Linked DNA regions of Oryzias latipes. The protein of the gene in region 3 binds, or shares a complex with, the protein of the main gene of each other region. Links are inferred from orthologs where the notes say so. Each region holds a gene or a part of one and is shown on either strand. Other genes may lie near its edges. The genes, in order: sae1, death domain-associated protein 6, sumo1, RANBP2-like and GRIP domain-containing protein 8 and E3 SUMO-protein ligase PIAS2.

Region 1 (6,156 bases), on a different chromosome or scaffold from region 3:
CTCTGAAAGCAGAGGGCCGTGATGAAAATGGGGAATACTTACTGTGACACGCTTTCTTCCCATTTTGGACTCAAACCCTCAGAGAAAAATAATGTCCCTGACCTTTAAGGGGCATTAGTGGGGAGGGGCTTTTGAAATTGGGGTATATTTTTCTTCCAGTTGTGGAAAAGGGATTTTCTTTTCTTTCTTTTGGGGGGGTGTTTGACTTAAAACATTTTAGGGATGCTTTGCAGACGTTTTGGGGACTTTTTCTGGATCTAGGGCGACCCAGTTTGAACTGTGAATAAAAGGGGTCTGTTAATCTAAATAAAACATTGCAGATTAAAAAAAATATCAGTTAAAATAGTTCACAATTAACATAAAAATGTATAACTTACGGTTTTAACGAGCTACATCTCGCCATGTTAGACATGATTTTTTAAATGCGCAGTTACGTCGGCTAGCCCTAGCTTGTCAACGGATGAAGTAATTTAAACGGATATTATTAGCTTCAATGAAATCGAAAATCGTCATAATAAAAAATGCTTTTTTTAAAGAAACTTTTAAAATTGAAGCGGTAGTAACTGGGTAATACGACAAGCGTAAAGTGGACCCAAAATTCATTTCGACGACTTTAGCCGTTAGCTTAGCCTTTGTTCTGTTAGCTAGGTTAGCATGCTATCTTTAGCCGTCAAGCTAATATTGTCTTAAAAAACGCCGTTTTCATTTTTGTTTTTTCAAACACAAACGTTACCAAAAAAAATAAAATACAACGCAGGCTAAGCTAACGTAAGTTAGCATTTTCGTGTGGCAAAAGTCCGATTCTTTGTCATGACAGAATTGTGAAGAAAACTCGTGTTTTTGGTCTTTCGACTTGGGTCTTTTTTCCTTTAAAAAAAAAGGTCGCTTCGGTCGTTTGGTCGATGATTGTGAAAATGTAAATAAAATACGGGGAATAGCGTTATTCCTTGTTCTTTTGGCCTTCCAGTTGTCGCACCAACATGGCCGTTGTCTTTACCTCTGTGCTCGTTTTCCAGTTTAATCCCTTTGAGAAAAAATGCAAAACAAAAAAAAAAGAGAGAAACCCCGGGCTTTTGTGTAAAAGCTCAGGACAAATAAATAATTTCATTTAAATATGATTGTAGAATTACTCGACCTTTCGTCAGTCAGGAGACTGTTGTGTTCGTGGTAGGTAGTTGGGGAGTTTGGATGGACAGTCATGCTTTCCACAGCCATTTCCTCTAGCTACATTGAGGTGCAAAAAATTACAACTCGACACTAGAATCTACTGGCTTATGCGTCACTTCACTAGGATCTACTTGTTTTGTTGTAGGAAGAGACTCAGTTCATAGTAGGCAACTCTCCACAACAGTTGTAAGAGAAATATGCTGAAATTGAATCCTGACGTTCTCCGTCCTACTGTAGCGACGTGAATTGACGACTGATTATCTTAAAATGGCCGATCGTCTTCTCCAAAGAAATAAGGGGCGGACTTTCCGAGTCGAAGATCGTGACGTTGGCGAGTCACGAAAATAACCGAAAGACAAAGCCAGGCTGTTCGTGTGACCCGGAGTTTGTCTTGCAGGCTGAAATGAAAGCTACCAAAACAAAATAGCGCAAAAATGATAGCTTTTTGAATTTAATGCTTTTCAAGACTACACGTAGACAAATAATAAAAATAATTATATTTAAAAAACATACACTTAATTTTAAAAAGCCGGAATTAAGTGGTTTAAAATGCCAAGGAGCACTTAAAGTTTCTCCTCAAAGACCCACTGCGATGAAAATTGTGTTTTTGACATGTTTTTGTAGCGTTTTCCTCATGATAGAGGACATAAAAGGGCAGTTCTTTGTTCAAATCTTTGTGATTAGAAAGCAGACAAAAATTGGAAAACAATTTATTATGTAGATAATCCTGCTCTGCTAATTTCAGATGAATCCAGTTGCAGACAAATAGATTCATAAACATCTTTATTTTCGTTATCTGAGCTGGAATCTGGCTCAGAACTGTCTGGCTGGATAGTTTCAATATTGCTCAGCATTTTTGTTGCACCGCTTAACCTTTTTTCCAGTTTTTCAATCTATTTGTCAAATGTAAGGTTTACACGTCTTTACAACAATTTAACCAAATAGTGCTTATTTGGACAAAAATAAAGAGGTTAGTTTGTCATAAAATGTATCTCAGGTTTTAGTCATTGAGCTAAATTACTGGTATTTTCAATATTATTGATACGTTTTATATTGTGCTAGATAAAGGTTTTGATCAGTGAACTAAATGTAACTAAAACATGGTACCAAGTTGTTTCAAATTTAGCAAGACAGCGACAGGAACGATATGTCACCCTTTTCATTGGGAGTTTCCTTAAAGACAATACTGAGGGAGTTAGAACAACGTGTTCAAAGGCACACAAAGAGAGAAAGAGAGAACGAAAAATTGTTTTTTCATCAAACAGAAACATCAAAGGAGCTCGGATCAGTTTAGTTTAGCACATTTAGCAATAAAGAAATATACTTTAAATACTTCTCTGCTTTCGGAAATCAAATAATTTAAATTGGGGGACAAAAAAGAATTTTTTCAAACATATATGTTATATTAATACAAATATATACATGATATATAATATACAAATTATTGACATAAAAAATAAAGGGTTTAAAAATAATTTCAAAAAGATGACAAGTGATTATTCTTTAGAAAATAGTCTGTTGTTTGTTTAAATGACGTCATAACCCGGCGACCATTCAGCGGGACCGTCGCCGCGTTTGAATCGAACTGGTTTGGCCCCTCTTCAAAAAGCTAATATTCTCCGAAAGGGAAGACTTTCCTTGGGAAGAAATCAATCGACATGATTGAAAAAGAGGACCCGATCATCAGCGAGGAGGAAGCGGCGCAGTATGACCGCCAGATCCGTCTGTGGGGGCTGGATGCCCAGAAGAGGTGAGTTAGCTTAGCTAGCCTCGGATGCTAACGGTTCCTCCTGGGTGATTATCATTATAACTCACTTTATTGCACACTCAGATGCGGTCCATAAAAGAAGACAGAAACAACATGCAAAAATAATAAATAAATAAATAAATACATAAAAAAACAAAATTACAGTTTACACCCATTTAGAGTATAATCTGTGCCCAGTCTGTCCCCAGGGTGGAGGTGTAGCGGCGTGAGCTTCCCCTGATATCAGCATGATAATTGCATTCTTAGACTTGTCCAGGCGCCCCATGAGGCTGTCAGCTAATAATGTAGTGGTGTTTCACAGGTGGGGATGTCATGTGAGCGTCCATAAACAGCTGACTCGCTGTGTACCACCTGGGCACCCGTAGCAGAAGACCAAAAGGCATCGCTATAGGCCACTGTAGATTTACAGAATGCCCCACGTCCATAATTCCACCACCGAGGAGTGCAGTCAGCTCTGAACAACGAACGCTACACTTGAAGAGAACACTTTTTGAATTTTCTCATCAGCATATTTGACTGAGCATACAGTTTACAGTCTCTGAATGTCTCTGTCGTCCAATCATCAGTGATAAAATGTCCAAGATATTTGTTATATGAGGTTCCTTCCAGAGGCTTTCCACAAAGCTGTAAAACAGGAAAGTTTACCTTTTTGTCATCGTTGGTCTTAACAATCATTATTCTGCTTTTAGAAGGGTTGTACTTTATATCAAAGTCTCTGCCGTGGTCAGAGCAAACTTTTAAAAGTTTTTGTCTCCCCGCACTGTAAGGGCAAAAAATGACAAGGTCATCAGCGTACATAAGATGGTTAAAGGTTTGACATCCAAAAACACACCCAGGTTTGCACAGATTTCACTTCGTAGAAAGATCATCAATTTATACATTGAATAAAAATGGAGAGAGGATCCCTCCCTGTTGAACACCATTGCTTACCTAAAATGGCTCAGATAAAACGTGAAGTAAAAAATGAAGTGATGTTTTGCTCTGAGGTGCAGAAGTTCCTGCTCCTTTCTTCACCTCCTGGATCTCCTCCTAAGCCTTCTTTCCACTGAAACGCTGCAGCTCAAAGGTTCTGGTCCTGTTCTTTGCCAGAACAGCAACGCTGCATCCCTGATGTTTTTGATTTGTTAAAAATGTTCTCCAGAAATCAGAAGTTCTCCACGATCCAGACTCAGAGGAAGAAAAACTCTCTTTTTCTTTGTCTTTCCAAAAGTAATCTTCCATATTTTTCACCTTAAACCCGTTTGGGACTGGCTTTCTCCTCTGGAACCTCCTTTCAGCAGCGTCCTGTTTGTGGCTTCTGCAGGTTGCGGGGGTCCCGGGTTCTCCTGGCAGGCCTGGGTGGTCTCGGCGCTGAAGTGGCCAAGAACTTGATCCTGGCTGGAGTTAAAGGTCTGACTCTGCTGGATCATGAACAGGTAAACACAACCACACCAGCAGCTGGGAGGCTTTTCCTTAACCCCATTTGTCCACAAGAAGCAGCTCCGTGTGAAATGTTGAACTCAATAAAATCGATTATTTTATCCTTTGACCCCCAGACTGATCGAACTGGGTTTGGTTGGGTCTCAAGAGTCCAGTTTTTATCCCACGTGGATTGACTTTCTGTTTCTTTTAGGTGACAGAGGAGTCGTGTCGAGCTCAGTTCTTGGTTCCGGTGTCTGCTCGAGGTCAGAACCGAGCCCAGGCCTCGCTGGAGCGAGCCCAGAATCTCAACCCGATGGTGGAGGTGCACGCCGACCCCGGGAGGGTCGAGGACAAACCGGACGACTTCTTCCTGCAGTTTGATGCTGTGAGTGGAAACAAAAGAAGTTTATCTAAAACCAACCAATGAGTTTGAATTAATATTAAAGATTTACTGCCCACTAAAAAAAAAAAGATTCAGTTTTAAAATGAATTTTCCATTATTGTAATTCCAAGTTTGACCACTAGATGGAGCTTAAAGCCCACATTAGCATAAACACCTTCATCTTTAGGCAGCACATTCTACACAACAATGAGATCAGCTCATCTTTAAAAAAAAAACTAAAACCACAAAAAAAAGAGTATAGCATAATTTACATGAACATTTAGATAGAATACACAAAAAATGTAGGTAAAGCTATGAAAGGTCGTGTCGCACAGCCACATTTTGTGCACATTACACAGATAAAAGTTGGTCATACATGAAAATATGTAGAAAAAGGGGAAAAGTTGTGGATCTTTACGGGAAAATTTCACAGATGACTAACACTAATGAGCCACGTCAAAACCACGGAAGAAGTACGAATAAACCACGCAAAGAACCCGAAAACTAACGTTAAATCTTCAGTGTGCCCAGACATTTGTGCGACAAAAAATTTGAACGTGATATGTGCGACAAATACGAGATATAAAAGCTATGTTTTGGCCCTTGACGGACATCTGTCAGGAAACACTCATGAATTATCACGCATGGATCACGAAAGACCAAATTTTCATACGTGGAAAATGTGCAACGTGTGCGTAGTGAAAGTATTTGTACTTCTTCCACGAACCCAAACCGCCAGCGTATACACTTTCAGTTCTGTCCCAGACCCCTGCTGTGATGTATCCTATGGGACGGTTCAGAGCCCAAATGTTCATTTACGTTCGCTTAATTCCTTTTACACATGTGACGTGGGAATGTGGCCCCGTTCACGAGTTTTGGACTGGAATTTCTAAGATATTGTTTGATTTAGTAACAGAGCCTGGTCTCCGACATTGGTCATGTGGTCAGCGGCGGCGGTGCCGTTAAAATTCAGAGTTCTGGGAAGGTGAACGAACGCAGGGGCGTTTGACCCCACCCAGACATTTGTATTGTTTTGTTTTTCAGTTGGCTACATATCACAGCCCCCTTTTTTTCCCATAGTCAGCTATTATTAGGCATATCAATAAGTATACATGTGTGTCTTTATTATTTTGTTTAGACGTTGTAGAGAACCCCTGGGGGCTGCCGTCATTTTTTGGATGGTTTGAGTTATATCCTGAAATTTCTTTTGAAATAGTTCAATAAGAAAAAAAAGTGTGATCATAAAGGAAAACCCATAAAATCAAATAGATGGCGAGAACGAAAAAAAACCAACAAGAAAAGGTTAAAGATGTGATTTAATTCCGGGTTTCTTGTTGGTTTTTTGGCATTAACACGAACCTTCGGTTTGGTTTGGACGTGGCGTTCTGAACTCTCCTGTTGTGCGGAAATAGAAACCCCCCCCCACACACACACAGAC
Region 2 (6,234 bases), on a different chromosome or scaffold from region 3:
ATGGCGACCTCTCTGTTGGAGCGCAGCTTCTGCTGCAGAGACGAGTCCGACAGAGCGGGGTCTGCAGCTTCAGACAAAAGACGGGAAAACAGCTTTAAAACTCTGGAGATTTAGTAGCACAGAGACTTGAATTCTTTGAATCTTATGCAATTTGATGTAGAGAGGAGGAGCGTGTAACAGCTGATTCTGTTTGTTCAGAGGTCAGTTTGAAACATTTTGTGAAAAGCCCTCCAAACATTTACTAAAGTGGACTTTAGCCAGAGCTGGTTTAAAAATAAACATCTAGTCATGAGCTTTTAATGGATTTAGAAACCAGTTGTAAAAGATTAAAATTAAGAACAAATTTAAAATCCAAGCTCCTTCAGAGATTATTTCTCTAAAAGTGAATTCACACCCTTGATAGAAAAACAAAAGGTTTCTATGGTTTCTGTGTCAAACTGCATTAAAGTATAAACACATTAAATAAAAGAAACGTGACGGCATGGTTCCTCATGTAAACTCTTTAAGGAAGGATCCAACCAAACAGCAGCGAGCAGCTTTTCTCTCAGCTGGGAGTCTCACTGGGTTTGTAGTTGTCTGTGAGGTGAGAGCCAAAGTTGTAGAACATGTCGTTGAGTCGGCGCCTCTGCAGGAGGTCGCCCGTCTCCCTGAAGGCCTCCTGAGCGATCTGGTTCAGATGGCTCTTGCTCAAGCACAGGTTGTGGCGCTCGTTGGCCCGCAGAACCTGCTGGAGGATGTCTTGATAATCCGGAGGGTTCTTCTGCACCTCGGGACTGTTGATGAAGCGCTGGATCTAACAAAGGAGGAAAAGATAAACGAGGAACTGGGAGGTTATGTTCCAAGATATTTAGGGAAACCTTTAAAGCCGTCAGCTCACTCTCTTGTTGATCTCAGGGTATCGAGTGCTTTTGTACTCGATCCTCTCCTCAATGGCTCGGCCCGTTAACGTGTTGCAGCCCTTCAGTTCACACAGCTTTTCATAGATCTTCATCAACTGGGAAAGAAATGAATGCCTGTTACCAAACACCGTTTGACCTTTTGTTCCACAATCAGATGTGCATCAGACCTTCCGCTTCAGCTTGTGCTCCTGGATGTAGATGGAGTCTTCAGCTTCCAAGTCATTCAGGCTAAGCTCAGTTTGCTGCAGACGGAAGATCTCATCGTTGTAAACCTTTAGGAGATTCTCCAGGTACGCGATCTGAGAGGGAGACATGTGCTCCAGATATTTAGTCTGGCATCGTCTGATTTCAGGAATAAAACAAGTACAGGATTAACACTGACTGTCTTTTTTTTTTTAGGTTTATTGTCTGTACCGACCTGTTTCCTTGAGGCCCTTTTAGCTCTTTTTTCCTCTTTTTGATCTTGCTCTTTGTTGTCTTCCTGCACTCCAGAAGTAGAAGGTTGCTCTTCGTCACTCCTCTTCTCACTGTTAGGGGGAACGGAGGTAGACTGAACAGAAGCTGATGTTGAGGTAGAGGGCGCCGCCTTGGAGAGGGTCAGTCTCCTTTTATCCCTGTGCTGTTTGAGCACCGTGCACAGTTCATTGATGAAGACAAAGGTTTTGGAGCGGTTGTTCTGAGCGCGAGTTAGACATCCTTTCAGAGTGTTCCTGAACTCCACAGAGGACAGAAACTCTGGACACGTCTTGGAGTGTTTCAGCTGCAGGTATTCCAGGACCTCCGGGCACTCCTTGGTCTGAGCGGAGCAATGCTCCACAAACTACAGGAAAGACACGAGAGAATCAAACACTGAAGATGAATCATGCAGATCATTACACCTTTCATATTACACCTTTATAAGACTTTTACAAAACAGAAAAAGATTCAATTGTGACTCACAGAGAAAGTCAAACAGATGAACTGTAAAAGCTTTCAACAATTTAACATCTTAAATGTTTCTAACAATCTATTCCGAAGCACATAAAAACATATTTTATCACAAAATATTAAGGAAAAAAACAGTAGATATCAGCAATATTAGCACAAACAAAAACCTGCTGGGTGTTAAAATATTCTTTATTTTAGAAGTTGAAGAAGACCACAGAAGAGAGGGTGGGCTCAGTAAAAACCTGAAGCAGCTCACCTCAGAGAACAGTTTCTGATTCTCAGCTAGAAGACCCTGAGCTTCCTTCTTCCCTGAGACTTGGTGACTTGGGGACATGGCGGCGTGCACGGCCACCAAGTGCTGACCTTTGGGCGGTAAGGCGTTTCTGGAGCCATGATCAGAGGAGGGAGTAGTAGCGGAAAAAGAGGGCTGGGGGCTGTCCTCGTTGTCTTCATCCAGAACTATGATCTCATCTCCCATTGAGGCAGGAGCCACCGCCATCTAAACCCTGACGGATTCTGCTGTGAATCTGCAAACAGGAAAAACACGCTGGTCGTGACAAAAGGTACAGAAGCAAGACGTGGAAGGATTATTGATTTCAAAAATCTATTCATATATTAGTAAATATTGGGGGGTCAGTGGTGAAAAACATTTTTCACAACTTATTTCCTACTGTTTAGTCCTTGTTACAAAAACCAGCAACTAATAATTTATCAGGGGTCCAAAAAAATCAATTTATATAAAAAAATCTATTACTAATTGGCTTATTTTATTTTAAATGTTTATAAACAAACCCATAGAGCCTGAATGGAAGCACAGTTGTCTGTCCAATGAAAACCACAGATATGAACACATGATTATGTTGGTAAAAAGGTATAAAATTCATCAGGAATAAAAAAACGTTGTTTCTGGTAAACGTTGTCAGTTTCTCTTCGTGGTGTGGACTCTACTGTTTTTGCCCTTTTCACGAGTGACCAAAACACAAGACGTCCAATCACAAGCCTGCTTCTATCAATGAAAACTAACTGAACCACAATAAATAAGTGGGATGTTGTGTGCACAAAACTAGCCCTCCTTTTTCCCAGCACCTCTAACAATGTATGAATAAATGAATATGAGATGTTTTAACCATAAAGAACAGAACAGTCTAGAAGGCCCTAAATGCAGGTTTGAATCGTGGAAGCTGTTGAATTTATAGTTCTAAATGTCAAATGAATAATAAAAATCTAGATTTTATTCATTAAAGGATTGGACTGTATTGCCACAAAGCTAGTTATATATTTTACAGATGAAAATCTCAACGCATGGGTCATGATGTACTGAGATGCTGAGAGAGAAAGATACACAACACGGTATCTGGTGAGAATGTGGACAAAAACGTCTCACAGTGAAACAGGATTATTAAAGATCCAAAAAGATAAAAACACTGCAATAATAATCGTCCACACGGCTGCAATGCTGACCTGAAAATACCGAGATGCAGACAAAGAAATGGCACTTTTCTGTTGCCTGATCGACACAAATTAGACTTATTTTTAAGACGAAAATGCTCGGAATGCAAAAATGAAATGGCTCGACGACAAATAGCACTGATGTCTATTTTGCTTTTGATTATTCAACATTAAAAAAAATCTGTCTAGTAGCCTTATCTGATTTACATCAACTTTAATTACCAAAATTTTTTCCTGTTTACTTTTACATCCTGAGTCTGTCTCTCTCGTAGTTTTCTGGTCAACGAAAAAAAATGAAGGCGAATATTCAACAGAACTTAATCTAAAGTGAAAACAAAAGGAAATTTTGTAAAAACTGATCACAAAACATGGCAGATACGGTGCTTATAATTCTGAGAAAACACGACTGGGTGCATATTATTAAAACACTCACCTTTTATTCAGGAACAATAGAAACGTAAATGTTGCTCTTCAGGAACGCACAGCAGTTTTTAAGCTAAGATTAGCAACAGAGCAGCTACTGTAACTTTTCTTGTAAATCCAAACGGAATATAGGAAAAACGGCATGATTTCCTGGTTATTTAACTAACAGATTAAAGTTATTAATACTTCATGGATGCGTTTTTTAGGATAGCAAAGTCTTTTGGCTAATTTAGATCTCGTAAATTTAGCTCCACGAACTGCTAGAAACCGAAAATGTGCCCGCGACACTCAGACCAATGCCAAGGCCTCTCATTGGTGGAAAGAATAAAGATCCAGTAAAAATGTCTGCTATTGGCCAGAGTGGAAGACAACAACACTACGTCTTCTTCTACGGATCTTCCGTTACGATTTGTGAGTACACTCTCCAACAAAACAGACATTTAGTGGAAAAAACAGTGAACTGCAGAGTGTCTGAGCGCTCTAGATCAGTGTTTTTCAACCTTTTTAGAGCCAAAGCACGCTTTATCCTTGACAAAAATCCCGCGGCACATCAGCATCCAACTCATAGTCTGCATGATGTACAGTCCCTCCGCAATCTCACATGCATTTTTGTGATGATTGTGGCAGAAAAAGCTGGAAGTTGCAGCTGTTTTTTCTAAAAGATGTAATAAAAGTATGTCTATTATTTAGCTGCCTACGTAAGCTGCAGTTGTTTTAGCTTTAAATTTCCTCTATTCTAGATTATTTTCTTGCATTCAGACTCCTCATTTGTAGGGCATAATAAAGTGATTTTTAAACCTGGTTAATACCATTACATGTCACACATTTGTTCTCTGCATTTGACTGTGAGCAGCAGACACAACCGTACACAGGAACTGGATTGGATTCACCCCCTTAATGCTGAGTGTCAATTTTTAGAGTCTGTGGTATGACTCGGCCTAGATTTGAATTTACGACGTTCCAGTCATAGGGCAGACACTCTACCACAAGGCCACTGAGCTGGTTAAAACATGGTTAATCATGATGCATATTATGTCCAAATGTAAGAAGAGTTAACTTGGAGAACCACGCCATCAAGTATAATAAACGTTTAGAAATGGACAGATAAAGCACAATTAAAATGACTTCTTACAACCTTTTATTTTTGGAATTTTTACAACAATTTTGTCAACATTTCAGCAGAACTTTGACAAACACACAAAAAAAGACAGACATTCATTAATTGTAATACAATGTACAAATATTCTGGGCTTCCTATTTACAAACGTGCTTTACTTTATTAATTAGGACAGTTGTTTTGCATCTTCAGTGAAACATATTTCTCAAAAAACAAAACAAAACACAGCCTCCAGTCACAGTTTAGAAATCCCCAAAGTGAAACTTGAAGCGTTCTTTCGGTTTTTATGATGTCATGCTTTCAAGATAAGAACATTAAAAGAAAGGGGTGGTCAAATAATTTTCTGTAAAAATGGTACGGTCCAAACCAGCAACCAATCAACCAAAGGCACCAAAGAGCTGGACAGCTGCACATGAAACCCCATCAGAAGTATGAGACACCTTGATGATTTAGTGACAAACGTCTGCTTTGTCATCACTTATCCTGTTGTGAGAGAAATAACAGATGTTATTCACAAGAGTGAAAGACTGTTAACATTTACGTAAATAAATGAGTGAACTTGCCTTGTTGGGTTTAGCAGCCTCATCAGATCCTGAAAACAACGAGTGGAGAAGTCAGGAATGTCTATTTACACCAAAAACTCCCATATGACGGCACATTTAAAACATATTCAATATTTCAGTGAACAATGATGTTGTCTTGGTACCTGAGCTGGTAAAAGTCCATGAAGCAAACTTAATGAGGCCGTAGAGCACCAAGGCCACACCCACCATCGCCATGGAGTCCTCGATGGACGGCGAGCTGAACCCTTCAGGTAAAACCAAAAACACTTTTCAACACTTTTGCTATGAAGGTAAACTCACAAACCCGTCATTCAAATAATTCAACATTTCCATACGTTATATGTTCAGCTCTTTATTGAAAAATGTTAGAATCCAAATAATTCAGAGCGTGTGACGATAAAAGTGAGGTTACCGATCACACTGAGGGTCACGCTGGCCCGCCGCGTGCCGCCACGGTGAACAGCGACGCAGCTGATCTCCCCCCCTCTGCCCAGGTCCAGCTTGGACGTGTCCAGCTGCAGCCGGGTGCTCTGGCTGTAGGTGCCGTCCCAGGCCTGCCGGTGACCCGACATGCTGCCCGACCCCAGGGACCGGCTCTTCCCATCTGCCCCTCTGAACTCCCAGCTCAGGTCTACCGGGAGAGGGACGAAGCCGGAGGCTTCACACTGGATGTTCAAAACCTGACCCGGGACGGCGAGGGGGAGGGGGGACGGGTGGATGGAGAGGGATGGAGGTTCTAGACAAACATGGAAACAAAAAAGCGCATATGGTTCTCCATCAACAGAATCTTTTTTTTCCATCAGGAATGTCTTTTCGATCCTTCCTCTCACCTACGACCTCCAGCTCCATGGCCACC
Region 3 (5,757 bases):
GGTGACGTGGATGATCCACAGCAGCTACTGAAATAGTGATGACATTTTTATGTCTATGTTCCCTAGCAACCAGTTGGTAAACGGTTGAAACCACTTCAACGTCGCAACCACAAACGTATGATCCGAGACCCCAAATTTTTGTGTGGTTGCCATGGTGACAAGTTATCTTGACCATCATTTCTAGAGCAAGTAGTTAATGTGCAGTGGCTTAAATTAGGATTATATTCGTAAGGAAAACTTCGGAGGCAGACTGTTTCTTTTCTTAAATATTTTATTCAAAAAAGCAGAACACTCATCTCCAGAATTTCAAACCATCTGTATCAACACTACTGGCGACGAGCCGGCTCGCATCACAGCCTGCACCGATTGTAGGGGAGGGACACCTCTCTCATTTGAATTCAGCCATGATTATTTATCTCAGATTAGATTATCCTTTAGAGGTTTAGATTCTGAGAGATGGAAGTCTACGATCGCAGGCGAGTCGGCGGCTGCCATAGGTGAACCCTCAACCCCTAAGGGGTTTGATCAAAACCAGCTTGGGCAGCTGATGTACTTGAGGAACGACATATGGCAGAGTTTCATTCTAGGATGCGAAAAAAACAACAGAAAAGCGATTCTGGTGAACTTCCTGTGGTTGATTGAGGACAAAAAAAGTGTTTAGTTTTTTTTCTGCAGGAAAAACAAAACAACAAAAAAGGTTCTTTTGAATCCAGAATGAAACTCCTGAACATAAATTACAGACAATGCTTGAGATATTTTACAGAATATATCTTACATGAATAAACACAACATATACAAGCACAGTTCTTTTTTTTCTTGATTTTTTTTTTTTTAAAGTGTCATGTGGGAAGGTTATTTTGTAGAAATTGAGTTCTGCATAAATGATGGCACATTATCTGCAGACTGTCGAATCCTCTAACCAATCAACAGAAAAACTTAACGAAAAGTTCTTCAAAGTTCTGTGCAAAGAACGGTTCCACCTCGGTCGGTTCTGCAGCTGAAGTTTAGGGGAGATGAAGGGGAGGGGGGGCAACGGGTTCTGCTTTATTGATCCAACACTCGACTTGGCGACCCGGAGAAAAGAAGGACCCAACCTCATCTGAGAGTGGAATAGATCAACAGGAAATGGACCTGCTCCCTCGTTTAGCCCCGCCCCCCTTCATTTGGACAGACGCTTTGGTCCGTTCCAGGAAAACAACTTTTTTTGTTTTGAATAGATGGAAAGATCAGAAGCATGCCGCTCTGGTATGCTTCTGATCGGTTTCTTTTTACGGTTTCTGTAACCGCACTTACCCAGAATGCCATCTGACATATTTCCTCTATGAGACAATTTTAAAAAACATTTTGGGGAGGAAGAAGCTCCTAAAAACCATTTTCCTGCAAAAGCACATCATTCCAGCAAGGTTGATAAAATAAAAATTTAAAACACGAAAGCGAAATGGTTGCCGGTAAAAATCTTAGAGTGTCCTCCGACGGCAGAGCCACAGGTTCGAGTCCTCGGTCTGTCCGCCTCCCCGACCGCACACATGGAAGCCCTGATTGAGTCCTTTTGCTTTTTTGATTCAGATGGTTTGAAACTTAACAGAAATACATACATACATACAAAACCAAATGATAAAAAACATGAATAAAAGGGGAAAAAAAAGAAGAAAAAAAAACATCAGAAATTGTGGCTTTAATGATTCCAAAGTCCGCCGGTCTGTTCTTGATAAACTTCGATGACGTCCTCATCCTCCATGCCCAGCTATAAAAAAACAGAAGAAAACACAAACCTTAGTGACCACTAGTGCTTGGTTTTCGCTCTTGCGAGTGTCGCTTACCTCTTTTGGGGTTTGGTTATCTGCGATTCTCTGTCCCTCAAAAAGAAACCGTAGCGTGCTCGCCAGGACTCCCTGAAAGAAACGTCATCCTCTGCTGTTAGACCATTAGGAGATTTTTATTTTTCCTTCAATCAGCTCTCCTTGAACGCCGCCGCGAGGCGCTAGGAGCACGAGTAACGATTACATAGACGAGCTTTTAGGTGTAACCCTTATGCTATCTTAGATGACCCCACCCTTACATTGACGTGTTCTCCCTACCATGACAAAAGTGGAAAGATTTCATGTAATCCATGGACACCAGTGAAGATCACAAATCATTGAAGAAGAAAGGTTAAGCGCACTGTCTAGTGGGTCTAGATGACCCAACTCCTAATGTTAAAGGGCCTAGGATAGCACAAGGGTTAAAGAAAATTAAGCTTAAAATTACATTTAAAATTGGGTTATTTTTTTTTTATATTTAAAATCGTTGTGAATCAGGAGCAGACAAAATTAAACTTAGTTGGAAAAAGGTTGCAGGTATGATTCCAAAGCTACTACGGCAAGCCACAAGGCTCCCTTGCAGACAAATAGACTCGTGTAACTTTTTTTTATTTTCCTCGTCCGAGCATCCGGATCCAAACTGTGCAGCTGGATAGCTCCGATATTGCTCGCCATTTTTGTTGCACTGCTAATATTAGCTTGGGAGTCTTAGTAAGCTAGCGGGAGAGCGTGTCAAAAAAATAAATAAAAATCACTAGGAACTTTTTATTTTTTGCAATAGATCAAAAGATGATCAGAGTTATCTTTTTTTTAAATAATGGCGTGTTCTACCATAAGGAACTGCATTTGGATGGATCTGCGAAGGCTGTCATTGGAAAAGTGGCGATGCGTCTTCCTCTTCATACCTGTCTCTGGCTGTAAGACTCTTTCAGCTTCTTTAGATGTGTGGTCATTTTCACCTTGAAGTGGATTTCACTGCTGTCCTGTGGGCAGAAACGGACACACACAAAAAGGTGATGCAGCTCAAAAACAATAACAACTTCCAGCATTAAAACGAATACATCTGTAAATGATAAAGAATTGGCAGAATCATTGACCAAAAATAATAGCCTTCTATAAACAATAATAGAGACACCACCACGTGCCATAACTTTATTTGAAATGGAGTAGAATACGGTTTATTTCTAAATGCAGACAGTAGTGACAACAAAAGCAGAGACACAAAAACAACCTACCTGACCGATCACTTTTAGTTTGATGTACTCTCCATCTTTCTTGTCGCCTCCGTCCTGATTGGAAGGTTTCGTCTCCTGACAGAAACATCACAAAACATTGCTACATGATGCGACCGCTAGCACGCTTTCGAGGAAGGCCCGTCTGTTTACTCCGCGGGTTCCACGAACACAGAGAACATCCACCATAGACACGAGTGTGGGTTCGGTCCCGCCAGCACCAGTTCTGACCCCCCCCCCAAAAAAAAATCTCAAAAAACTACACAAAAGCTCACGTGGAGGGTAAAAAAAAATCGCTAAGTTCAGTCAGAGGCCTGCAGCTAGAACAGCTAACGGTTAGCATGTTGTTAGATAATCACGTACGAGGCAGCGTCCATAACAAACACATTATCGATTTCTTAGTAAAGTGTTGACAGAAAATCATTCGAACTCTTCAACGTTCTTTTTCTTACCGTGTCTGACATGTTTATCCTGACTGTGTGCGGGAGGGGGAGGGAATCCCTTCAAGGTGTAGCGTTAGCTTTTAGCGGTGGCTCTTGCTTTATGTTGTGAGGAATGCGACATCAAACGGAAGTGACGCAGGGCTGTTCAAAATAAAAGTCGCGTGAAGGAATTTGTTTTGTAGCGGATTGTCTCCATAAGAAAAGCGCGCGCGCGCACACACACACACACACTCATACAAAAACCTTGCCTTTTCCAGTATTATGAAGTCTTTACTCCTGTTCAATATTCAAATGCAATATATATGTTTAGATTAAATTTATATATTTTTAACATGGGCTTAAAAAATAGCATTTTATGATAATTTAATAAATAACTATATATATATAGAGAGAGAGAGAGAGAGAGAGAGAGAGAGAGAGAGAGAGAGAGAGAGAGAGAGAGAGAGAGAGAGAGAGAGAGGATGAAACAGTCGACAGCCGACAGTGTGCTCAGTGAATGTCTCAGGCAATGGAGAGCAGAGGATACAGTGCTGGAGGACAGATCCTCATGGGAAGACAAACCCCTGCATGGGACGTACCACCGGACCATAACTGAAGTGGCTGATATCAAGAAGTCCTACCAATGGCTAGAGAGGGCTGGCCTACAGGACAGCACTGATGCGCTCCTCCTGGCAGCTCAGGAACAAGCCCTGAGCACCAGAGCAATAGAGGCTCAGATCTACCACACCAGACAAGACCCAAGGTGTAGGCTGTGCAAATAAGCGCCTGAAACAATCCAGCACATAACTGCAGGGTGTAAGATGCTGGCAGGGAAAGCATACATGGAGCACCACAATCAAGCAGCTGGAATAATATACAGGAACATGTGTGCAGAATATGGACTGGAAACCCCAAGGTCAAAATGGGAAACACCTCCGAAGGTGGTAGAGAATGAGAGGGCAAAAATCCTGTGGGACTTCCAGATCCAGACTGATAGGATGGTAATGGCGAACCAACCAGACATTGTAGTGGTGGATAAAGAACAGAGGAAAGCCGTTGTGGTGGATGTGGCAGTGCCAAGCGATGGGAACATCAGGAAGAAGGAACATGAGAAACTGGAGAAATACCAGGGACTCAGAGAAGAACTGGAGAAAGCATGGAAAGTGAATGTGACAGTGGTGCCTGTGGTAATTGGAGCACTCGGGGCAGTAACCCCCAAGCTGGAGGAGTGGCTACAACAGATCCCTGGAAAGACCTCAGACCTCTCAGTCCAGAAAAGCGCAGTGCTAGGAACAGCTAAGATACTGCAGGACCCTCAAGCTCCCAGGCCTCTGGTAGAGGACCCGAGCTTGGAGGAGAAACCACCCGCGGAGGGTGAGAGAGGCGTTTTTTAAATGTATATATAGTTTTCGTGTTTGTTTTTATATTATTTATTTATTTTGTATTGGTGCAAAGCACGTTCGGTTGTGCTTTTGTAGGAAAAGAGCTATATAAATAAAGTTTGATTTGATGTAATCTTCAATATTCTAACTTTGAAGAATCATAGTTTATTAGAGACTTTTCACATGTTGATAATTAATATAATGTCAATTAAAATACTCTTGTTGTTTTAGATTTTTACAAGGCATTTTTAAGCCCCCCCCCCCCCCCATCACTCTGGAATGGCAGAGTTTATAGTAGACATTCTTTAAAAAAAAACAAAACAAATTTAGAAGTCGAGGATCCCACATCTATTGAAGTTTGTTTAAATGCAGTCTTAATTCCGTTGAGGTTTTGTCAAAGTAAAATAAATAAGCCAATGTTTATTAGGAAACCCACTTTAAGCTTTTACTTTTGTAGGTGCACTGAAGTACTTCCGGTTATAAGGAATTGTGTTTTCTCATGAAGCTTGATTTAACTCCAGGGTCAACGGCGAGCCGAGCCACTGTTAACCAAGGTGTAAAGTGCAACGAAATGAGAGGTGTCGATTAAATTGGCCCTTCAGTCGCGCACAGACACGGAAAGGCGTTCCTGGACGACCGTGTCGTCTTGGTCACAGACGCGGAAAGTGCGGGATAAACCGACGGCCGTCGGGCCTCGTCGTCGTGGCCCAGCGGGACTCGGGGTGAAGTTAAGAGCGGACTGCCAAACTTCTGCTTCCTCCCAGCGACTCTCCGCAGGGCCCGGGGCTCCTGTCACCGGCCGTGTGGATGAGTAGTTGGACCGCGGTGCAAACAACCCACAGGTGAGACTATATGACAGATGAATGTCGCTTGAAATGACTCGGTGGTTGGCTCTGTTGTGTTTTGTTAACGCCAGTGTTGA
Region 4 (5,430 bases), on a different chromosome or scaffold from region 3:
TTTCGATCAAATTTGTGTTAAAAAAAATGGCAGGCATCGTCATTATTGAGCGTGGTCACGACCTCAGTTGTGAGAAGACGATAAAAAACAAATTGAAGTGGTCTTGGCTGGAAAAAAAAGATTTTTAAGGTAGTGTAGGTCAAAACCTTTATTGTAAAATAATCTCAAAACCACATTTTGAAATAATTTCAATTTTAGTTTTGAGTTTCAGTTTTTATTTTGAATACATTTCTCTATCTAATTTATTTGTATTTCCTAATTACCATGATTTAGTTCAGTATAGTTGACATTAATTATAAGTATTTGATGGTTTGGACCCGCACTCCCTTAAAAAATAATGTTTACAATGTTTAGTTTAGTTTGTATGTTTGTTTTGATATTTCCCAGATTACTTAGTATTGGTGTTAAAGAATTGATTTATTATGTTATAGAATTATAGTTTAAAGCAGATCCCATATTTTGATGTAATTATAGTTTGAGAAAACGGTGCAAGTGGATGTTGTACATCAGTCATTTCTAAAGCAGAAATAATGTATAAATAACTGAGGTATTTTCATAGAATATCATAGTTACTGGTGTTCTTTTTGCCATTTGGGGCTTTGATGTTACTATATTTTAGCAATTGTATGTTTTGCAGCTTTAAGGAAAAGCGTAGATTGTAGGATTGTGTTACTTTGAGCAATTTTCCAAATTCTTTTTTAGGACCAGCAAGTCCTTAATGGAGAGTCAAACTAGGGGATTGAATGACAAATCATGATGCTCCAATTAGTCTTAGTTTCTTGATAAAGAAGTGAATAACTAGTTGCCAGAATGCACCAGAATGCATCTAAGACCACGTATTTTTCCAAAATTTCGCTCTGTGCCCGCCATATCGCTCAAAGAAAAGTTCAGGGATTTTTTCCTTGCCTGACTTTCATCACTGTTATTAAAACTCTAGGCTTGTGTAAAGCTCAGTGGTTTGGAGGTTTTGATGACCAAACGTGGAGCAGAAGTTGCGAAAGCCAAGCATCTGAAATATGAGGAGAGCAGAATCAGTTCCTTTATAGCGGCACGTCCCCAACAAACGTCACAGGGCTATTTATGGAGCAGGAAGTGTAGCAACAGCACGGACTGTAATTTCCTACCTGGCCTGATGTCTGTTAGCGATGTGCACATCAGCAAAGACTAATTAGGGATTTATGTTTTTGTTTGTTACTCTATTATATGTTCAGAAATGAATAGCACAGTTCTTTAAAAACAAAGGTAGATATTGTCTGACTGGAGCAATCTGCATGCAGTATATGCTTAAAATGTGTGTGTGTGTCTAACATTTGTGTATACTAAGACAAATGCACAGAAAGGGGGTTTCTTTTGTCTATAAATGAGTTTTAACTCTGCTGTTTTTGTTTCTTTTTAATTCCAGGTTCTGCTCAGGCAGCAGCGGGCAGCTCACGGTCGGAGGAAGACTCTGAGGTGGAGGTTTTGTATGTCAAGGAGCCCACTGCTGAGCAGGCGGCTTTAGCCAGGAAACTCCTGCTGCCCCTCACCTTTTTCTGCTACAAGAACGAGCCAGGTTACACCAGCGACAGTGAGACCGACGGTGAGACAAAGGACTCTGGATTTGTACACTTGCTGTATCACAATGCGTTATAATTATCAGCATCATATTATAAGGCGCAAAAAAAAAGGTTTAGTTGAACTTTATTCCACTATTTAACAATCCACACTCACAATAAATTTTAATCAATCTTCTCCCACACAACTGTCAACGTCCTTATGTCAACACGCCAGGTTCCCTCTCATCGTTGTCAGGTGGCTGTCCAGCAATAATGCCGACTTTAGCGAAAGCTCAGACAACTGTTACAGCAGATCCTTAAGCCCAGCCATGCAAGGCACTGCCTCCCAGTCTTAGTAAAACTCTGTACGCCGTCAGACATCCATTGAACAAAGATGTGCACTCTATTCAGCTTTTTCTCTGGTGGCACCGGGAAGGCCTGAAGAGGACCTCGCTGAGTGTGATTGAACACTAATTCAGCAGGACTGAACCCGAGTCACATGCAGGAAACATCTGGAAAAACCTGCGTAAAGCTTGAGCGGATCGCTGTGCGCCACACGCCGTACGCGTGTGAGGAGCGCTGAGTTCTTGCCAGAATCACTGTTTTTGACCCACCTGTGTCCCTCAAAATGCACACGGTGCGCTCATCCATGCGCTCGCCGCTCCTGTGTTGGCGAGAAATGGTCCAACAGTCAACTGAGCAGAGCGCTTCCCAAAGTCACAACATTTTGATAGATTTTGGAACTCTGTACATAAAGATGCTCTGGATTATTAGGCGCATGGTCAATTTAAAAAAAACCCCAAAAGTTTGGGTTTTTAAGTGCACCTTATATTGCGGAAAATACCGTGCAGATTTCTGATGATCTTTTTCCCTGCTGATGATTTACTTAACATTCAATTGAATTTGTTTGAATTTTCAGATGAAGACTTTGAGTCAGCAGTAAAAGCGTTAAATGGAAACCTCTACCCGGATCCTCCTCAGGCTGCAGCTTCTGATAACGGTACGATTGTCTTCATCCATGACAATTAATTTTTTTGTCTTTTTTTTGTTTTAATCTGAACCTTTGGAAAGCATTAGTCCCAGTCACTATTTTGCACTAAAGGTGTTGATGCTGCTTTCAGACTCCTGTGAGGTCGTGTGGGAGAAACGGCCAACGCCAGAAGAGGAGGAGAAAGCAAAGAGTCTGCAACTTCCCCCCACGTTCTTCTGTGGCCTGAGCACCTCTGACACTGACACCAACCACGACAAGCAGGAAGACTTTGAAACAGAAGTCCGCAAAGCACAGCATGAGCTGGTAATCGACCCAAAGACCTAAACCTGAGCTTTTTAACAAACTGACTCATGTTCTTAATGACATTGAAGGACTAAATATCCCTGTGAACCATGAGAAGCTGCAGGAACAGACAGAAGCAAACAGCGGTGTGTGTAGTGGCTGATGAGGAAACTGTAGATGGGTTTAGTTATCAGCAGCTCCAGCTTTTCACCTCCTTCTGTTCAAATGGAGCTGCTTTCACTGATCACTGTTAACCTACGATCCACACATCCACACACATCCAACACTCGAGTTTCTACGGCTGTTTTTGGTCTCCACGTTCAAAAACGCGGTCATTGAACAGGCGTTGCAAGATAAAGCAGTTACATTTTGACAAATCAGGGACTCCGATTTAGTAGTGATGTATGGATGGCGTCCCTTTTAACTCACAATAGTTCAAATCGTTTGAAAGTTGACCGTGGAAGAGAAATGAATAATTGCAGTTTGTTCCTCAGATGAAATTCTATGCCACCAAGTCTTTCCTTTATCGGAATAAAGCTGTGAAAGAAAAAAGATGGAGCAAGATTCATGACATTTGTACCAAGCCTCTTCCAAATGTGTAGGTGGCGGACATGCGGTAATGAACAGTAGAAAAAGGAAAGGAAGCCCCGCCCCACTTGTCCAGTGTTGAACACCATGGCTAAATGCATCATGTTCAAGAACGTTCTAAACGTGTTCTTATGCACACAAATAACCTGAATTTAAGATCCTGGTTCTTGAGGGATTTTTAACTCTTGGGACTAGTGTGACCTGAAAAACCAACAATAGTTATTTAGATTTTTTTTCTTTTATATTTAAGAAATCCTACACGTTTTGGTAAATGCACACATGCGGCTGCGTGAGGAAAACATTTTTCTCTGAAGACTAACACTGATTTACTTTGTCTTAGGCTGGTCAGTCAAAGAAAGCTGAGAAAAGCTGGAGCCGTCCAGCTGCAGCTCTTCAAGACCCGAGCTCGGTCCCAGCATCCAGCTGTCCAGAAGCAGCCGCCAGCGGAACCGCAGTGGAGGGGCAGACCGCAGACCAGCCAGCAGAAAGTCAAAGCAGCAGCTGTCCCATCGACCTGTCCACCAAGAAGAGCTCAGAACCAGAACCCGGTTCTAGTACAGATGTTTCTGACTCTCCAGCAGCTGCTCAAGGTCAGAAATGATGTCCGTTTTAATCAACTGTCCTTTTCCTTGTTTTCTGTCCTCTAGCCAGCTTATCGCCAAATCCCACTAGTTTATAAAATCAAAGATTTCCTTTTTATACAATTGTCTTTTTGCATTTTCTGTTTTTTTGTTTTATGTTCTTCTGGTGAGCTCTGATGAAACATCAGTCATTCAAGGATCATAAAAGCCTCTTTTTTTTTATTAAGTTGTGAAAACTTTTCTACAGACAAAACTGAGAAAAACTGTTTCATATGTTACGACTTTGTTCTTATTTCAGACTCCAGCTTTGGTTTTGACTCACTCGCTGGATTCTCTTTTGCTGACTTGGCAAAGAAAACAGAAGGCTTTGCGTTTGGAAACAAAGGTTGACTTTTTATTTTCATTTTTTCCAAATAAACCCTTTTTTTTTGTTTTTTTAATTCCAAATTAAATGTATCTGTTTTTTATTTTCAAATAGATTCTGACTTCTCCTGGGCCAATGCTGGGGCAATGGTATTCAAACCTCCTGTGTCCTGTGAACCTAAACCCAAGACAGACGATGGAAGTGATGAAGAGGAGGCTCCTACCAATGTGGACATTCACTTTGAGCCTATAGTGTCTCTGCCTGAGGTGAAGTGCACAAACACTCACAGACTCACACATGTCCCCATGAAAAACTGGAGAAAAAAGTAAAACTTGGAAGCTACAGCTTGATGCTGCGTTCACACCCGACACGATTCACCCGTCAAATTCGCATCTGCTGCCTCTCTTTTGAAACATGTCAAATTTACTGCTGGACGCCCCGGCCGCGGAGAACCCACCAACGTTTTTCTGGCCTTGCCACATCATGGAAAACATGGATGATGTTAAGGGAATTTTTTGGGTTCAATGTTTTGGTTGACACGCCACGTCAACCTCGCCACGCCGCAGGACCTCAGATTGCGTCTGTACATTGACGTACCATTGAAACTCGATGCCTGGAATGAATACAGTATAACAGGGACATCTAGTGGCCAACTGAAGACATAGCAACATGTAAAAACCCTGACTGAAGTTTTTTCTTAAATCTGATTTGGGCAATTATATATTCAATAAACAGTGTGGTCCTTATAACTTATTGTTTTTATATATACATACTAATAAATATTTAAAATATGAATATATCTTAAAATTGAAATCATTGCAGATCTTTGGTCAGAGTCTTAAAAAATAATTCCCAAACATTCATTCCACCCAAAAAATAAGAGTAAAAGGAAAGTAAAAGTAAGTTGAAGCTTATTCAGAAAATGGCTGTAAAATAATGAATTTTGGTTTAAACAAAAGTTTATTTGTGCAATTAGAGGTTTATGAATGAAAGTCAGAACGTTTTAACTGTGACAAAAGGATTTAGATTAACCAAAATAAAAAAGATTTACCTAGTGAGTCAACAAACAAAACCCTAATTATAGTGTTT
Region 5 (6,356 bases), on a different chromosome or scaffold from region 3:
TTCTTTTATTGCACCATGACTATAGTGTCTAACAACTGAAGTGAGGTCCATGCTGTTTGGCCGCTCGTGTGTGTATTAAAGCCATCGCGCTTGTTGCTGGACGTAGAATTATGCAGGCAGTCTCCCCTCTGAGACTGCTGGAGGGCTCCTGGCGGCCGTTAAATAAAAGCATAAATTAGCCGCATCATTGATTTAGCCGCAGGGTCGAAAGTTGATTACAAAAGTAGCGGCTTATAGTCCGGAAAATACAGGGGGAAAAAAATAATAATACCAAAAACTACATAAAAAGTCCTTCAATATGTGATAAACCAGAGAAATAATAATAAATAACATGACAAAAACTTCCACAGTATCACACTTTACAAGAAGAGCTCCACCTTTCCGATTTCCGGCGCCCATGTCACTGAGATCTGGTTGGGCACTGCGGAGGAGAGTCTGACGAGGGACGTGATGTTCAGGGGTCTTCCTGGTCTCTTCGGCTCCACGCCGTTTTTCGGGGGTGGGGCAAAACCCTGAGAGAGGCTGGATCAGTTGGTGTGAAGTTCCTCAGAGGGTTGACGTTCTGCGGGGCTGAGTACTCACAGGCAGAGGGAACAGCTTTCCGTTGACCTTGATGCACAGACCGTTGGGGTAGTTGTCCTCCTGAGGACAGCTGGTCTCCGACAGGCAGAACCTGAGCACACAGCAGGAAGTCAGAAACTGAAATCTCTGCTCGGTTGTCACGTCATCAAAGTCGGCTTTCTCCATGGAGATCATATGATGGAACTAATCTGCAGAGGAAACGATGCTGCAGCCGAAGCGGAGGCCACAAGCCCGAACGCAGGCTCTGCAGTCCTGGTCTGGGAACTCAGAGAAATTAGACGAAGCGATTCCAGTCTTCTCTCATTTCCACACATGCTTGTCAGATAACCAGAACTCCCTTCAAGTAAAAGCGTTTTCAGCTAAAGGCTCTTCCTCACAGAGCGCTGCTACAGTTTCTGCTCCATCTGCAGACTCTGTGGGTGAGTGAAGATCCCAGCAGAACCTCTCCGAATCAGCTGTGATCCCCCTGAACTTCTGATCTGATTAGCTGTGATTGGCTGAAAGGAGTGCTTAATCCTGCAGATTTCTGATTCTGAACTGTGAATTGGACCAGAGGACCCCAATGGCAACATTTACCTGCAGATTATGATAAAAACCTGAAACTTCTTACCTCAGCTGGATCTGAACTAAGTAGTCCCTCCTTCCTCCAGGTAGGAAGTCCCTGAGGAGAGGAAGAACAATCAGTCACGGGGCTCTCAGTCACGTAGCCGATGTTCCAAAGATGACTCACCGCGATATGCAAACCTCCCGGACCTGCTGCGGCGTCAGGGCAAAGATGAAGTATTTCTCCTGGTGGTACCTCTGTGCAGCGCTTACTCCTGCAGACACACAACACGCCCTGTCAGCGAACGCCTGAACACCATCAAACCATGAAGCACGGAGGTGGTAGTGCCATGGTGGGATGTCTAAAAAATAATTCACTGTGAAGACAAAACCCTTTAGACGAAGTCAGAGCTCTGGAGTCACCAACAGAAAAGGGACTTCATTACGAGGTATGTGTGTGTGTGTGTGTGTGTGTGTGTGTGTGTGTTGGGGGGGTCACAGAGTCTAGGATTTAAGTTCCACAGTATATGGAACTAATCAGCTTTAAGAAGGTTGAAATAGGAAAACATCTGATCCAAGTTCAAAGGTGAAACACAAAGAAACGTTTGATTGTTTTGGATTTTTCAGACTAAAAAAAGCCACATAATTCCAAATTGAAAATGAAATCCCATAAAGTAACTGATCGGGAATAAAGAAACATTACTGAATTCCAGATGGAGAAAACAGAGAAAAGGGGTATTTTTTTTATATGACTATATAACCAAACATCAAACTCTGCTCTGACACGACTGCTACTGAACATCTGCTCTACAAAGTGGGACATAAAGTCACTGCTCTGAAACATTTGCTGTCAGCCAGGAACTGTTCAACTCTTTTGTGTTACCCATGAGTTACGCCTGGGAATTGACAGGCTGGTGCTGCCTACTGGGATTTAGAACTTGATGTTAAGTTTTCTTCTGAAACCAATAGCTCATCGTCCTGGTTTGGTCTCTGTGGAGTCTGACTGGAATAAAGATCAGAGCGGATCTCATCTGTCAGCCCTGCAAACATCACACACCCAGACTGGAGGGCTTGATGAGGACGTCCAGAACATCGTAGAAGGGGAGGGGTTTCATCTCCACATCAGGGTGGACGGGGGGAATGAGGGGAGAGGGCTGCTGCAGGTTCATGGCGATCTCTGCGTGGGGCCACACGTGATCCAACAGGTCCGCAGTACTGGGGTGCTTCCTGCTAAAACACAACAGTTACACAAAAACTACAACACAGTCTTACACAAGCCCTGAGGTGCTGAGGTGGGCTCCAGGACGGCCCCTAACACACCCAGGACCAATAGGACCAACCATTGGTGATGTGGGCACAGAAGCAAACCAGGTTATCTCCACCTGATGGTAAAATAAAGGTTAAAAAAGTGATAATATCCAGGGAGCAGCCAGTAAAGCGTCTAAAGCTGAGCCCATCTGCTGCAGCTGGAAGACTTCTACTGCATGACGACAGAATCCAGACATCTTGACTCTTTCTGCTAGAGTCGTCTCACATGATTCACTAATATAACACGGTACACGAATCGATCACAAAAGATGCAACTAACTTTTATCTAAATGGATACAATCTAGTCATCATTGAAAAATAAAAATGAAAATGCCTTTTAACAGAGAAACTCTTATTTTTTTTAGCAACAAAATGTCTTTGAAGCGACAGCTTTAAACATTAAAGCCTACGAGTCTGAGTCTTTTAGAACCTTTTTCCTATGGTTAAAAAAAGGTGTCATATCAATTTGTTCAGGTATGAAGGTATTCAGCTCAACAGGAAGAGTAACAGACAAAGAAACCGATTTTTTGTTTTACTCCCTGATAGATTTTAGAGCTTGGTCATTTCTAACTCCATCAATGTTTTAAGCATTTCTCTATGGATTACATCCCTACTAGAAGCACAGTTCTCTCTGTTCTGTAAACTGTCATCATTTTCTTACAACTCTATAAACAAGAAACAAACACCCTATAACCAGGCTGCAAATCTTCACTAGTAGATAAATCTGCTTTAGACAAGTCAATAAGCAAAGTAAGTAAACTCCTGAGGGTATAAAAAGCTCTTTAAAGAATTAAGAGTGCAAAAGTAACTACAAAAGAGCCTGTGAACAGGTAACCAATCACTGAACCAGTCTGTAAGCAGTCAGTAAAAGCTGAATGACCAGTCTGTTCAAAAAAACAAATATAAAAATAAAAAATAAGTCAATTCCGGAACAAAACCTAAAGAATAAAGGCAACTGAAGGGTGACAATCACCCCAAAAGGTCCGTAAAGCCCCAGTGTTCAAGTTGTAAACAGAGTCAGAACAGTTGTAGGTTTAACCACAATAACCAGCCGGTAAATAGTCAGATAAAGAACCAAAAAACAGGAAATAAGCCTTCTATAACCAGGCTCTAAGCAGTCAAACAACCAGTCTGTAAACATCCAGTTCATAAAATACAAAAACCAAACATTCGGTGGGAGCCCAGCTGTTAGCGTGTTAGCTTGCAGGCTAACAGCTGCTCACTGGGCTCCTCGCGCCTTAAGCTCGGGGTCAGACGGGGTTTCTGCTTTGGTTCGGTTTGAGTCCATCTGTTCTGGTCGGTGCCGTCCGAGCTGTAAGTCCACATGAGACGTTGTTTTTGTTTTTTTCCATTCCTTTTTTGTTGCTTACCTAAAAATCCCCGCTCCCCGCCGCCATCTTCGACTTCCTGTCACATACTGCACGACGTAACGACGCCCTTCTGACGTCATGCGTCATTTGATTTCTGAACGGGGACCTCTTAGCAGAGGCGGGTAAAATCGAAAAAACATGTTCTAAAGAGAGAATTGTTTCACTTTAAAATATTTTTGATTAAGTAGGATTAAAGAAAAAAGAAACAATGATCCTAACGATTATTTGATTAAGAGTAAATATATAAATTATGTTAAAGCTACCAAACTATTAAGTAACAGAGCAAACCTGATTCTAGAATGAAACACTGAGGAACTCCATCCAGGCCTGTATGTCTGCATGTTTTCTATATTTCAACCCCCTACTTACAGATGATTACCTGGATCAGGTGTGTTCAAAGCATCCAGGAATGCAGCCCCTGGTCGGGTAAAAAGATAAATAAAAATGTGAAAATTCTGACGCTGCTGCCTCAAAGGCTCAGTACTGTGTGTGTTTAATCTAACTTGCAGAGCTCAGCCTGGGGTCATACTCAGTGAAGCGTCATTTTAGGGGTCACGAGGGTCAACCACTTACAGGTTAACCCGTTAGTCAGGCTAAACTTCTTTTCTGAAGCTGCTAGGCTTTGTCCAAATGTGAACTAATGTCTGAAGCAGTAAATATGCGTTTTCTGAAACGACAAATCCCATCTCTCCATGTAGAAATTTGATGGATTAGACTGGGTTTGGTGGTCGGCATGGGAATGGGAAATCTGGCAGAATTGTGGCAAGTTTGGTGGAGGGAGGATTATAATGCGGGACTAGCATCTTCCTGTTCCAACATGACAGCAAACCAAAGAAGGTGGACGTGGATGAAGGTTTGGTGTGGAAGAAGCTGACGGCTCCCTAGAACCCTGACAGAACGAACGCCTTTGGGGTCACGGCGGACCGTGAGCAGACCTTCTCATCAAACACCAGAGTCTTTAACGTCAAAATCTGACATTGCAAATCAACTTCCATGAGAACCAATATTCTCAATAAAATTGTAACCTGTGGAAAGTTTAAGCTGTTTTTTGGTGCAAAAACCAAAAACAGGTATATGTCAGTAAAACATCCACATGTGAAGGTAGAGGGAGAACACTTAAACACCCTTTTAAGGACCCTCATCCTTTTGAAACATGAGCTGGGGTTTCGGGGCAACAGTAGAGATTTTGAGGACGCTGTTCTTTTAGATCCAGCACAGAAAAAGCTGGACCTCTTGTCAGAAAAGGATGGTCTTCAGGTCAGCTGACTGAATAATGAACACAGCAGAGGTCAGTCAGAGCCTCTGTTTTGGAATTTCTTTAGGGGATAACTTTTCTTTTTTTTAAATGGGTCTAAAGCAGGAGACTTTAGTGGATCTTTTTCAGTTTTGCAATTTCTGAAAATCAGGCAGGAAGATGTCAACTTGTGTCCTAAACCAAGGCTGTATGAAAGAGCCCACTGGTACCCCTTCAGGAAGAATTTCTGTTGAATCTGTTCTTCACTGGGAACTCCTCTTGACTACATCATCAGACTGCTGAATCAACCTAACATGACCTCAAAGAGGTCCGCTTATGAGATCAGAACTACTCAAAGGCGACCTCTGGCCTTACATTTTATGCATCTACAGTTCCTGTGGACCTTACATGACCGTGATTCAAGCAGAAGAAAACCAGAACTCCTCCTGTTGACCTCTGCAGGATCTTGCAGATCATTAGATCAGTGGTTTGAGGGTGCATGGACTTCACTTTGAACCAGAAGACCTTCTGAAAAAGTGGGATTTACTCCAGCAGGTGATCTGTGTGTGATCACATCACTTTTGACTTTCAGCAGAGAAAGCCCCGCGTTCATATTTGTTAGCTGTAAAGTTTTAGTAACTGTACATTTGTCACCGTCCCCTGGTCTCCCACGGGTCGGTCCAGTTCCATAACAGCACCTGAGAACTGAAGCAGGACACAGTGGGCCCAATGGTTAGCCATCTTTATTATGAATGATATCGGACCAGTTTAAACAGCTGTTACATGGTGCTTTTAGGCCACTGCAGTCCCGCTCTGTGTCCTGATCCGGTCCGGGCAACCAATGTGCCGTTGGCCGCCATAGACACGTGGTTCTGGGCCCGTCCAGGAGCTCGAGCCTCCTTCTCCAGCTTCTCCTGATCTAGCTGGATAAGTGAGGCCCCACCCAACTCGGGCTGGCGGAGAGCTTGTGTTCTAGAGTGGCCGGGCCCAGCAGTGGGACAGGGGGCATGTATGGGAGGTTCTGACTGACCCAAACACATTCTTCCCACCAATGATTAACATGAAGTGCCAATCAAAACAATGTAGGTAAGCGAGTGAAGGAGGAAAAGAAAAGCAGAGGTGACCCGATTCATGCAGCAGACAAAGTGAAGGTTGTGTTCTGAGAGGAGCCGTGGATGTTCGGAAGGAAACCCGCTGGGTCGAGGCGGGTCTCTCAGAACACCTCGGAGCTCCCGGCAGCAGCTTCTCTCACCTGGTCGTCAGATGAGAGCAGCCCGATCAGGGGTGGAACTGAAAGCTTCTACTCATCAAAAATAAAG

The links.
Region 1: the proteins of sumo1 (region 3) and sae1 are in contact, whole or in part, in a crystal structure (PDB 3KYD), measured with the Homo sapiens proteins. The link is inferred for Oryzias latipes from reciprocal best matches to the Homo sapiens genes SUMO1 and SAE1. Residues at the interface, in NP_001005781.1 of Homo sapiens: Asp30, Ser31, Ser32, Glu33, Ile34, His35; in NP_005491.1 of Homo sapiens: Thr179, Lys180, Val181, Ala182, Lys183.
Region 2: the proteins of sumo1 (region 3) and death domain-associated protein 6 are in contact, whole or in part, in an NMR structure (PDB 2KQS), measured with the Homo sapiens proteins. The link is inferred for Oryzias latipes from reciprocal best matches to the Homo sapiens genes SUMO1 and DAXX. Residues at the interface, in NP_001005781.1 of Homo sapiens: Lys17, Glu18, Tyr21, Ser32, Ile34, Phe36, Lys37, Val38, Lys39, Thr41, Thr42, His43, Lys46, Leu47, Ser50, Tyr51, Arg54, Gln55; in NP_001135441.1 of Homo sapiens: Glu731, Glu732, Ile733, Ile734, Val735, Leu736, Asp738, Ser739, Asp740.
Region 4: the proteins of sumo1 (region 3) and RANBP2-like and GRIP domain-containing protein 8 are in contact, whole or in part, in a crystal structure (PDB 1Z5S), measured with the Homo sapiens proteins. The link is inferred for Oryzias latipes from reciprocal best matches to the Homo sapiens genes SUMO1 and RANBP2. Residues at the interface, in NP_001005781.1 of Homo sapiens: Asp30, Ser31, Ser32, Glu33, Ile34, His35, Phe36, Lys37, Val38, Lys39, Thr41, Thr42, His43, Lys46, Leu47, Ser50, Arg54; in NP_006258.3 of Homo sapiens: Asp2631, Val2632, Leu2633, Ile2634, Val2635, Tyr2636, Glu2637, Leu2638, Pro2654, Thr2656, Cys2659.
Region 5: the proteins of sumo1 (region 3) and E3 SUMO-protein ligase PIAS2 are in contact, whole or in part, in an NMR structure (PDB 2ASQ), measured with the Homo sapiens proteins. The link is inferred for Oryzias latipes from reciprocal best matches to the Homo sapiens genes SUMO1 and PIAS2. Residues at the interface, in NP_001005781.1 of Homo sapiens: Tyr21, Lys23, Val26, Glu33, Ile34, His35, Phe36, Lys37, Val38, Lys39, Thr42, Lys46, Leu47, Ser50, Tyr51, Gln53, Arg54; in NP_004662.2 of Homo sapiens: Lys466, Val467, Asp468, Val469, Ile470, Asp471, Leu472, Thr473, Ile474, Glu475, Asp479.

The regions. Positions count from the first base shown.
Region 1 is NC_019871.2:4,087,686-4,093,841, reverse strand, and holds the start of sae1 (SUMO-activating enzyme subunit 1), read left to right. Parts: upstream 1-2,684; 5' UTR 2,685-2,825; coding exon 2,826-2,917; intron 2,918-4,238; coding exon 4,239-4,350; intron 4,351-4,547; coding exon 4,548-4,721; intron 4,722-6,156. Other genes in the region: zc3h4 (zinc finger CCCH domain-containing protein 4), read right to left, coding at 1,136-1,215. UniProt on the Homo sapiens protein: The heterodimer acts as an E1 ligase for SUMO1, SUMO2, SUMO3, and probably SUMO4. It mediates ATP-dependent activation of SUMO proteins followed by formation of a thioester bond between a SUMO protein and a conserved active site cysteine residue on UBA2/SAE2.
Region 2 is NC_019869.2:16,000,316-16,006,549, reverse strand, and holds the start of death domain-associated protein 6, read right to left. Parts: upstream 4,011-6,234; 5' UTR 3,709-4,010; intron 2,354-3,708; 5' UTR 2,326-2,353; coding exon 2,083-2,325; intron 1,720-2,082; coding exon 1,318-1,719; intron 1,199-1,317; coding exon 1,067-1,198; intron 995-1,066; coding exon 878-994; intron 794-877; coding exon 562-793; intron 68-561; coding exon 1-67. UniProt on the Homo sapiens protein: Transcription corepressor known to repress transcriptional potential of several sumoylated transcription factors. Down-regulates basal and activated transcription.
Region 3 is NC_019860.2:9,898,598-9,904,354, forward strand, and holds sumo1 (small ubiquitin-related modifier 1), read right to left. Parts: upstream 3,517-5,757; 5' UTR 3,496-3,516; coding exon 3,484-3,495; intron 3,110-3,483; coding exon 3,035-3,109; intron 2,783-3,034; coding exon 2,705-2,782; intron 1,893-2,704; coding exon 1,821-1,892; intron 1,745-1,820; coding exon 1,676-1,744; 3' UTR 1,655-1,675; downstream 1-1,654. UniProt on the Homo sapiens protein: Ubiquitin-like protein that can be covalently attached to proteins as a monomer or a lysine-linked polymer.
Region 4 is NC_019879.2:17,104,524-17,109,953, reverse strand, and holds part of RANBP2-like and GRIP domain-containing protein 8, read left to right. Parts: intron 1-1,402; coding exon 1,403-1,579; intron 1,580-2,454; coding exon 2,455-2,535; intron 2,536-2,656; coding exon 2,657-2,829; intron 2,830-3,736; coding exon 3,737-3,986; intron 3,987-4,275; coding exon 4,276-4,362; intron 4,363-4,455; coding exon 4,456-4,607; intron 4,608-5,430. UniProt on the Homo sapiens protein: E3 SUMO-protein ligase which facilitates SUMO1 and SUMO2 conjugation by UBE2I. Involved in transport factor (Ran-GTP, karyopherin)-mediated protein import via the F-G repeat-containing domain which acts as a docking site for substrates.
Region 5 is NC_019867.2:30,475,937-30,482,292, reverse strand, and holds the start of E3 SUMO-protein ligase PIAS2, read right to left. Parts: upstream 3,899-6,356; 5' UTR 3,884-3,898; coding exon 3,804-3,883; intron 2,503-3,803; exon of another isoform or gene 2,466-2,502; intron 2,356-2,465; coding exon 2,183-2,355; intron 1,401-2,182; coding exon 1,313-1,400; intron 1,244-1,312; coding exon 1,193-1,243; intron 674-1,192; coding exon 583-673; intron 513-582; coding exon 378-512; intron 1-377. UniProt on the Homo sapiens protein: Functions as an E3-type small ubiquitin-like modifier (SUMO) ligase, stabilizing the interaction between UBE2I and the substrate, and as a SUMO-tethering factor.